2 linked regions of the Macaca mulatta genome follow. The protein of the gene in region 1 purifies or fractionates together with the protein of each later gene. This does not show direct contact. Links are inferred from orthologs where the notes say so. Each region holds a gene or a part of one and is shown on either strand. Other genes may lie near its edges.

What was found. Proteins that work in one complex are often made in the same cells at the same time.
Region 2: the proteins of DDX21 (region 1) and RSL1D1 purify together in Homo sapiens (affinity purification with mass spectrometry; 3 studies listed by BioGRID and IntAct, with this or other methods). This does not show direct contact. The link is inferred for Macaca mulatta from reciprocal best matches to the Homo sapiens genes DDX21 and RSL1D1.

Annotation. Positions count from the first base shown.
Region 1 is NC_133414.1:80,682,542-80,687,401, reverse strand, and holds the start of DDX21 (nucleolar RNA helicase 2), read left to right. Parts: upstream 1-2,343; 5' UTR 2,344-2,399; coding exon 2,400-2,486; intron 2,487-4,860.
Region 2 is NC_133425.1:12,994,137-12,998,996, reverse strand, and holds the start of RSL1D1 (ribosomal L1 domain-containing protein 1), read left to right. Parts: upstream 1-1,876; coding exon 1,877-1,981; intron 1,982-3,059; coding exon 3,060-3,199; intron 3,200-4,860. UniProt on the Homo sapiens protein: Regulates cellular senescence through inhibition of PTEN translation. Acts as a pro-apoptotic regulator in response to DNA damage.

The DNA.
Region 1 (4,860 bases):
ACTCTGATTAAAAAATGTGCAGTAATCAGAAATACTTTTCCAGCGTTTTCCTTTATCATAAAATGTAATATTTTAAATTGTGTTTTTAAACCCTTGTGATACTAAGTTTTAACAGTTCTCATTGATTGTGCTCTATGTACCCGGCACTGCCAGACCATTTTCTGCCATTATCTTACTTAATTTTCTCAATAGATGAAGTAGGTTTTGTTATCCTCATTTCATACAAGGGAAACTTGGGTTCAGATTAGGTAATGTGTCCAAAAATAACAGAGCAGACTGGGTATGGTGGCTCCTGCCTGTAATCCCAGTACTTTGGGAGGCAGAGGTGGGAAGATCACTTGAGCTCTGGAGTTCAAAACCAGCCTGGGCAACATGGCAAAACTCCATCTCTACAAAAAAAAAAAAAAATTAAAAAATTAGCCAGGCATGGTGGCACATGCCTGTAGTCCCAGCTACTCGGGAGGCTGAGGTGGGAGGATCGTTTGAGTCTGGGAGGTTGAGGCTGCAATGAGCTGTGATCACACCATTGCACTCCACTCAAGCCTGGGCAATAGAAGGAGAACCTGTCTCAAAAAAATGAAATAAAGACTGGGCGCTGTGGCTCATGCCTATAATTCCAGCACTTTGGAAGGCTGAGGCGGGCGGGTGGATCACCTGAAGTCAGGAGTTCGAGACCAGCCTGGCAAAGATGGTGAAACCCCATCTCTACTAAAAATAGAAAAATTAGCTGGGTGTGGTGGCGAAGGCCTGTAATCCCAGCTACTAGGGAGGCTGAAGGATGAGAATCGTGGAGGTTGCAATGAGCTGAGATCGCACCACTTCACTCCGGCTTGAGCAACAGAGCTAGACTCTGTCTCAAAAAAAAAAAAAAAGGCTGATTGTCAATGTCAGGTATTCTATGATTCTAACCCATTTTTGAAATTTATTTTTTCATATATATTATATATATAATATTATATATTTATATATGTATATATAAAGACATAGGGGTTTTGCTATGTCGCCCAGGCTGGTCTTGAAGTCCTGGCTTCTTTGGAGGCTGAGGCAGGAGATTCGCTTGCGCCTGGGAGGCAGAGGTTGCAGTGAGCCCAGGTCGCGCCATGGCACTCTCTAGCCTGGGTGACAGAGAAGGAGACTCTTGTCTCAAACCACAAGACTTCTCTCTCTCCCGCTAGTCTATAAAGCTTCTTGAGGATAAGGCTTTTGTGTCTGCTAGTGAATCCTAGCCCTGTTTGTCCTACCTGACACAGTGAACGCTCATAAAATGTTTGAGTGCACGCATGAATGACCGACTAGAACCGACTGAATTTTTTTTTCCTTCAGGCTCCTGAGTCTGGCCGACACTTTCAGAGTAGACGTTTCCAAGAGATGATTAAGAATACACATCCGCAGGCCGGGCGCGGTGGCTCAAGCCTGTAATCCCAGCACTTTGGGAGGCCGAGGCGGGCGGATCACAAGGTCAGGAGATCGAGACCACAGTGAAACCCCGTCTCTACTAAAAATACAAAAAATTAGCCGGGCGCGGTGGCGGGCGCCTGTAGTCCCAGCTACTCAGGAGGCTGAGGCAGGAGAATGGCGGGAACCCGGGAGGCGGAGCTTGCAGTGAGCCGAGATCACGCCACTGCACTCCAGCCTGGGCAACAGCGTGAGACTCCGTCTCAAAAAAAAAAAAAAAAAAAAGAATACACATCCGCGCCGGGCGCGGTGGCTCACGCCTGTAATCCCAGCACTTTGGGAGGCAGAGGCGGGCGGATCACAAGGTCAGGAGATCGAGACCACGGTGAAACCCCGTCTCTACTAAAAATACAAAAAAAATTAGCCGGGCGCGGTTGTGGGCGCCTGTAGTCCCAGCTACTCGGGAGGCTGAGGCAGGAGAATGGCGTGAACCCGGGAGGCGGAGCTTGCAGTGAGCCGAGATCGCGCCACTGCACTCCAGCCTGGGCGACAGAGCGAGACTCCGTCTCAAAAAAAAAAAAAAAAAAAATACACATCCGCGAGTCTGCACGTGCAAACTCGAACAATATAACATAAAGCACTGAAGATGCTCCACTCAAAAGCAACTAGAAGCCTTCATTTTTCAGGCTGGGGCTAGGGAAAATCTGGCCAGTGTTGGAGAATACAAAGCTAACCTTTGTAATTCCTTGCGGTTTTACCGTTCCATAGGTGCCTTCTAGACCAAAGGCCGCCAGTGGTCAGTCAATGCACTAAATTTAGCCACAGTCACAGGCCGTTGCTTTGAATTTACTTCGCGGAGAGCAGTCTTTCCTGTGCTTCCTGCTTTCCCCGGAAGTGCCTTGCTACGGGAAGTGACGAGAGCCGGGTGGACAGAGGAGGGGGAACTACCTCTTCCTCTCCACGCGGTTGAGAAGACTGGTTGACCTGGGCAGCCTGCGCTGAAGATGCCGGGAAAACTCCGTAGTGACGCTGGTTTGGAATCAGACACCGCAATGAAAAAAGGGGAGACACTGCGAAAACAAACCGAGAAGGTGAAACGGAGGGACCTGGGGCCAGGAGGGACGCTGAGTGGAGCGGAACCCCGGGGTGCGGGAGAGGTGCCCGGGCTGGGATCGTGAGAGCGCGCGGCGGGTAACAGCGCGTCCAGAGACCCGGCGTGGGTCTTGACGGGCGGTCGTCCAGCAGTGGTGCGCTCCCAGGCAGTGGATGCGTCTGCCCGACCAAGCCGGGGCCGCCGCGCGCTGACCTCTTCCTCTGAGATTAGAGGCATCCACATTGTTCCAGGAACTCTGGTAGAGAGGCCCTATTGGAGCTCGGGAGAAGGCCGGGTGTCCCACGTGGTCCCCGGCGACTGGGCGCGCCTCACACAGTGCGCAGAGTTGGACATTCAGTCAGGCTCCACGTTGCTGGCTGAGACATAACTCCCGGCTTGAGCGTGCGCGAAGGGAATTACAAGTCAAGTCAAAGTGGGGACTGGAGGCAGGGTGCGGTGGCTCATGCCTGTAATTCCAACACTTTGGGAGGCCGAGGCGGGCGGATCATGAGGTCAGGAGTTCGAGACCAGGCTGGCCAACATAGTGAAACCCCGTCTCGACTAAAAATACAAAAATTAGCCGGGCATGGTGGCTCACGCCAGTAGTCCCAGCTACGCGGGAGGCTGAGGCCGGAGAATTGCGTGAACCCGGGAAGCGGAGGTTGTGGTGAGCCGAGATCGCGCCACTGCAAGTCAACCTGGGCAACAGCGAAACTCCGTCTCAAAAAAAAAAAGTGGGGACTGGAGCTTTAGAGTAGACTGGAGATACCTTAACCTCATCTGCGCACGTGGGCGGCGTCTTTAGTGACTTTTTAAACTCTAGTAAGGGAAGTACAGTTTGTTTTCCGGTAAGCCGCCCTGAGAAGATGACGTAACTCAGTTCTTCTTAGTATTATATTGACTAGATTTCCCATGGAAATGTAAAGGCATGTGTTGCGGTGCTGAGTGTACACCATGTTTTTTTATATAGGCCAGCAGTGTGCAGTAGTCTTAACCTTGACAGCCGTCCCTTGCTTTGCTGTTGCTTCCTAGTGATTTAACTTGTGACTGAGTCTCTGTTCTGAGATAAGTCAGTGGGAAGAAAGATTGTTCTTGGACTTAGGTTGTACACTACTTAGAATGAACTTTACTTGTTTGTTTCCCTGCCTTTTGATATGGAGCTCTTACAATAGCAATATTTTAGAATCGTAGGAAGCCGCGGCAGATTTGTACTCAGGTGCAAGAAGTAGTGGTCCTGGTTTACATCGCATCAGTCAGTTGCTTTCAATTTGGCATGCTCAAATCCAGAGATACATGACCAAACTCTGTTATATTCCAAAAGAGACCACCAGGATGGGAAACTTGGTCTTATTTGGTGGAACCAAGGGATGAAAACGAATAAAATTTTGGAAGGAGACTAGCTTGTTTTTTGTTGGCAAGGAGATTATTTTTAATCTATGATTTGAGAACAGAGACCAGGCCTGACGTTTCCAGGAGGCAGAATTCAGTGTAATATGTATTTCCAAGATTGTTCTGGGGCTCTGCCAGAATAGGTTTCTAAGGAGGCTACAACATGTGTCTAATTGCTTTAAATAGTATGAAAAGTTGTAGGGGGTCAGAAAGTTCAAATAGGAGCCACAGTCATCTGTCTTACTTGGTTCTGAGGTGTCACTCCTTCCATATTCTTGTAACTTATTTATTTTATTTTAAATTAAGTACATCTTTTTTACACAAGGGTGATAGACTGAGTTTTTATAACTTTTTGTTTCATAAAGTGTCTCTTTTATTTTATTTATTATTTGTTATTTTTTTTTGAGATCGAATTTTGCTTTCGTTGCCCAGGCTTGTTCTCCATTGGTCAGGCTGGTCTTAAACTCCCAACCTCAGGTGATCCGATCGCCCACCTCGGCCTCCCAAAGTGCTGGGATTATAGGCATGAGCCACCGCGTCCTGCCCTTTTATTTTTTGTAGAGACAGTCTTACTGTCACCCAAACTAGAGTGCAGTGGCATGATTATAGCTAACTGCAGCCTTGAATTCCAGGGCTCAAGCAATCCTCCCACCTCAGCCTTCTAAGTAGCTAGGAGTATAGGTGTGTGCCGCTACGTCTGGCTAATTTAAATTTTTTTTTTTTTTTTTTGAGACAGTCTTGCTGTGTCGCCCAGGCTGGAGTGCAGTGGCGCGATCTCAGCTCACTGCAACCCCTGCCTCCCGGGTTCAAGCAACTCTCCTGCCTCAGCCTCCCAAGTAGCTGGGACTACAGGTGCATGACCATGCGTGGCTAATTTTTTTTGTATTTTTAATAGAGACGAGATTTCACTGTATTAAGCCAGGGTGGTCTCCTCCTGACCTTGTGATTCGCCCTCATTGGCCTCCCAAAGTCCTGAGATTACA
Region 2 (4,860 bases), on another chromosome or scaffold:
TACTCGGGAAGCTGAAGCCGGAGGATCTCTTGAACCCAGGAGTTCCAAACTGCAGTTAAGCTATAGTCACGCCACTACACTCCAGCCTGAGTGACAGAGCCAGTCTCCGTTTCTTTAAAAAAAAAAAAAAAAAAATGGCCGGGCACAGTGGCTCACTCCTGTCATCCCAGCACTTTGGGAGGCCAAGGCGAGTAGATCACCTGAGGTCAGGAGTTCGAGACCAGCCTGGCCAACATGGACAAACGCCCTCTCTACTAAAAATACAAAATTAGCCAGGCGTGATGGCGCATGCCTGTAATCTTAGTTACTGGGGAGGGTGAGGCAGGAGAGAATAGCTTGAACCGGGAGGCGGAGGTTGCGGTGGGCTGAGATCTCGCCATTGCACTCCAGCCTAGGCAACAAGAGTGAAACTCCGTCTCGGGAAAAAAAAAAAAAAAGGTAGCCGGGCGTGGTGGCGTGCGCCTATAGTTCCAGCTACTCGGGAGGCTGAGACAAGAGAACTGCTTGAACTGAAAATGGGGAGATTGCAGTGAGACGAGATCACTGCACTCCAGCCTGGGCGACAGAGCGAGACTGTTACACACACACACACAAAAAAAAAAAAAAAGGAAAAAAGAAATTAAACCCATCCAAAAAGAGAAAGGAGAAGTATCTCCTAAACATACCTAGAACATCTCTGGAAGGTTCCAGGAGGCACTGGTAAGGGTACCTCTGGGGAGGTTTGTGGAGTGGGAGGAAGACATTACAAAGCAAGCCTGTCCTACCCAAGGGCCGCGTGCGGCCCTGGAGGCCAGGTTTTGAATACAGCCCAACACAATTTCGTAAACTTTCTTAAAGCATTATGAGATTTTTTTAAAGATTTTTTTTAAGCTTATCAGCTATCATTAGTGTTAATGTATTTTATATGTGGGCCCAGACAATTCTTCTTCCACTGTGGCTCATGGAAGCCAAAAGATTGGACTCCCCTGTTGTAAGATATTCGATTTGTCAGTTACCCAGCCTCCGCTCTTACTTGCTTCTTTGTTTAGCGACAAGGTCTCGCTCTACTGCCTATGCTGGAGTGCAGTGACGCGGATCAGAACTCACTGAGCCTCCAATTCCTGGGCTCAAGATCCTCCATCCTCCACCTCCCAAGTAGCTGGTACTACTGGCGCGCACCACCACGCCGGCTAATCTTTGTATTTTTTGGAGAGATGGGGTCTCGTATATTGCACGGGCTGGTCTCCAACTACTGGAATCCCTCGCCTCGGCCTCCCAAAGCGCTAGGATTCCAGGCGCCAGCCACGCGCACGGCCAGCCACGCTTTTTTGTGGATCTTACCTCTCGCCTCTCTGCGAGACCAGAAGCTAAGAGATTGGCTCAGACTCATCTTTCAGTCCCTCACGCTGCTTAACGACGCGCCGGGTGGCTCCCGTGCCTTATATTTCATGGACTCCTCACCAGCCTGGGGTTGGCATCGCCTAAAGTCAACCGGCAGGTGGGCAGTAGAGCCAGGATTCCGCTCTCTGCCCACGCCACGCGCGGCCTTCCCGGAGGCGGGGACCGTGGAGTGTGCGGGACCCCACTGAGCCTCCTGACGGGACTCCCGCCTCAAGGTGCTTTCTTGATTTCTATCGTGTAAGATTGAGGGGACACCCAAGCTACTACTCACACCTCATGGAAAGCGGGAGAAGAGCAGAAGAGCAGGTGCCTCCTCAAGGAACAGACTCTGACAGCAGCCACCGCCCTTAAGTGCAAAACCCTACGCTCGCCCGGAAATGACGCACAGAGGCTCGGTTCCCGCCCCCTCGCTTCCGGGTCCGGGCCTCGCTCGCGCGTGCGCAGCAGAAGCCAGCCGCGGGGTTTCACACCCGCGTCTTCACGAGGTGAAAACAAGATGGAGGACTCGGCCTCCGCGCCGCCGTCTTCTTCAGGCTCGACTGCAACCTCCGCCTCGACTCCAGGGGCCCCGACAGCACGGAAGCAGCTGGACAAAGAGCAGGTGAGTGGTTCCTGGGGAGGGTGGCTTGGAAGCGGGGTGGCGGTGACCTCGTGAGGCGCAGGGTGCCAGAACCTGAGTGCGTGCTCGGCGCACTTCTCCGAGGCTGTGGGACGGTCGCTTGCGGGCCGTGTGCCTCCCCCTTTAAACACTTGGGTGGGCGCCTGCTTCCCCCAGTCCTGCGGCCTGGCGCTCTTGAATTGGGTTGCAAGTGTACCGTGGAGCTAGACGAGATGACCTGGCGACCTGGCTTAGCTTCCCTATCGTTAGCCCTTGACCGAGTCGTTTAGTTTTGCAGGTCTGCTACCCGTTATTTAAAATGGGCCCTTCCACTCCCCGCTATCCAGGATCGGGAGAGGTAATGCGTGTAAAGCGCTTTGACCAGGGACCTGGCACGTGGTGAGAAGGTACTCAGTAGGCCGGGCGCGGTGGCTCATGCCTGTAATCCCAGCATTTTGGAAGGCCGAGGGGGGTGGATTACCTGAGATCAGGAGTTAGAGACCAGCCTGGCCGACATGGTGAAACCTCGTCTCTACTAAAAATACAAAAATTAGCTGGGGGGTGGTGGCGGGCGCGTGTATTGTCAGCTACTCGGGAGGCTGAGGCAGGAGAATTGCTGGAACCTGGGAGGCGGAGGTTTCAGTGAGCCGAGATCCTGCCATTTCATTCCAGCTTGGGCGACAAGAGCAAGACTGTGTCTCAAAAAAAAAATAAAAACGAGAGTGCTCAGTAAATGCTAAATGGATGACACTTTGCGCTTTTCGTGGGATTACTGCTTTCATCGTTGAGGGTAGGAGAGGCACGTTTCCCTCTGGCCCGATCTCTTAAGTAGAAGAGGCGTCCTGCAGACAGTGCTGGAAGTGGGTACTTAGGCGTGTTTGATGGATTCTTAGATTTTTCTGAATATAAATTGCAAGATCCTCATAGATACGGTTATGGAGGTTACCCCTTGAAATTGAAGTTGGAAGGGAAAAAATAGGTGTGAGAGGGGACAAATGCTAAATTAGATTGAGAACATTTCACTTATTTGTGTAAGTTATTGTGAGAACATTTCACTTATTTGTCAATCTTCACTTTGCAGGTTAGAAAGGCAGTGGATGCGCTCTTGACACATTGCAAGTCCAGGAAAAACAATTACGGGTTGCTTTTGAATGAGAGTGAAAATTTATTTTTAATGGTGGTATTATGGAAAATTCCAAGTAAAGAACTGAGGGTCAGATTGTAAGTTGTGATTTTCTACCTTTGCTGTTTTTATCTGCTTGTTCATTCTTTGTAACTCGAACAATTCCATCGTAGTTTCTAATGGAAACTTTGCAAACTTACAATAAAAATCTGACATGAAGTAAAACAATTACGTCTAAAAGAACCATAAAGGTTTGGCGTGGTGGCTCACACCGGTAATCCTGGTACTTTGGGAGGCCGAGGTGGGCGGATCACCTGAGATCAGGAGTTCAAGACCAGCCTGGCCAACATGGTAAAACCCCGTCTCTCCAAAAATACAAAAATTAGCTGTACATGATGGCGGGTGCCTGTAATCTCAGCTACTGAGAAGGCTGAGGCAGGAGAGTCGCTTGAACCTGGGAGGCGGAGGTCACAGCGAACAGAGATCTCTCCATCGCATTCCAGCCTAGGCGACAGAGCAAGAGTTATCTCAAAAAATAAAAATAAAAGAACTGTAGGAATTCACATGTGCTAAAATTTTCTAGAAATTTCACCAGTTTTTGACTGGGTGCAGTGGCTCACGCCTGTAATCCCAGCACTTTGGGAGGCTGAAGCTGGCGGATCACAAGGTCAGGAGATCGAGACCATCCTGGCTAACACGGTGAAACCCCGTCTCTACTAAACACACACACACACTATCCGGCCGTGGTGACGGGTGCCTGTAGTCCCAGCTACTCCGGGAGGCTGAGGCAGGAGAATGGTGTGAACCCAGGAAGAGGAGCTTGCAGTGAGCTGAGATCCGGCCACTGCACTCTAGTCTGGACGACAGAGCAAGACTCTGTCTCAAAAAAAAAAAAAAAAAAAAATGACCAGTTTTCTTAGAGCTTGGTGAACAACTAACGTAATCAGGTCTGTTAAATCGAAAACCTGGTGTTTGAAAGAATAAAGGTGGAGTAAGTTAAACAGCTTCTATTTTTTTTTTTTTATTATTAGAAACCGTTATCTTTCCATGTTAAGCAAAAATTCTTTGGGGCTACAATTTATTCCTTTGTACAGAGACTACTAAAAACTCCAGTGAAGTCCTTTCTATGAAAAAATCCATGGTGATTATACAAAATGTTTCTTCAGAACATAGGTTGTAAGCATAAGAAATGAGTTAAACCCTCTTATTTTATTTTCTGTAAGATGTGGCATAATTGTGTTTGCTGGTCCCGCTTGTTTTATTCCATGTTTTTGGTTTCGATTCTTTTATCTCTTTTTTTTTTTTTTTTTTTTTTTTTTAAGACACAGGGTCTTGTGCTGTTGCCTAACTGGAGTGCAGTAGTGAGATCTGTGTTCGCTGCAACGTCGACCTCCCTGACCTGACTCAAGTGATCCTCCCATCTCAGCCTCCCAAGTAGCTGGGACTATAGGTGTATGCCACCATGCCCAGCTAATTTTGAAATTTTTTGTAGAGATGAGGGAGATGAGGTTTCACTGTGTTGTCCAGGCTGATCTCAAACTCAAGCTCAAGCAGTTCTCCTTCTTAGTCTCCCAAAGTGTTGAGATTACAGGCTTTAGCCACGGTGCCCAGCCTGTTTCTTTTTTTTGTTTTGTTTTTGAGACGGAGTCTCGCTCTGTCGCCCAAGCTGGGGTGCAGTGGCCGGATCTCAGCTCACTGCAAGCTCCGCCTCCCAGGTTCACGCCATTCTCCTGCCTCAGCCTCCCGAATAGCTGGGACT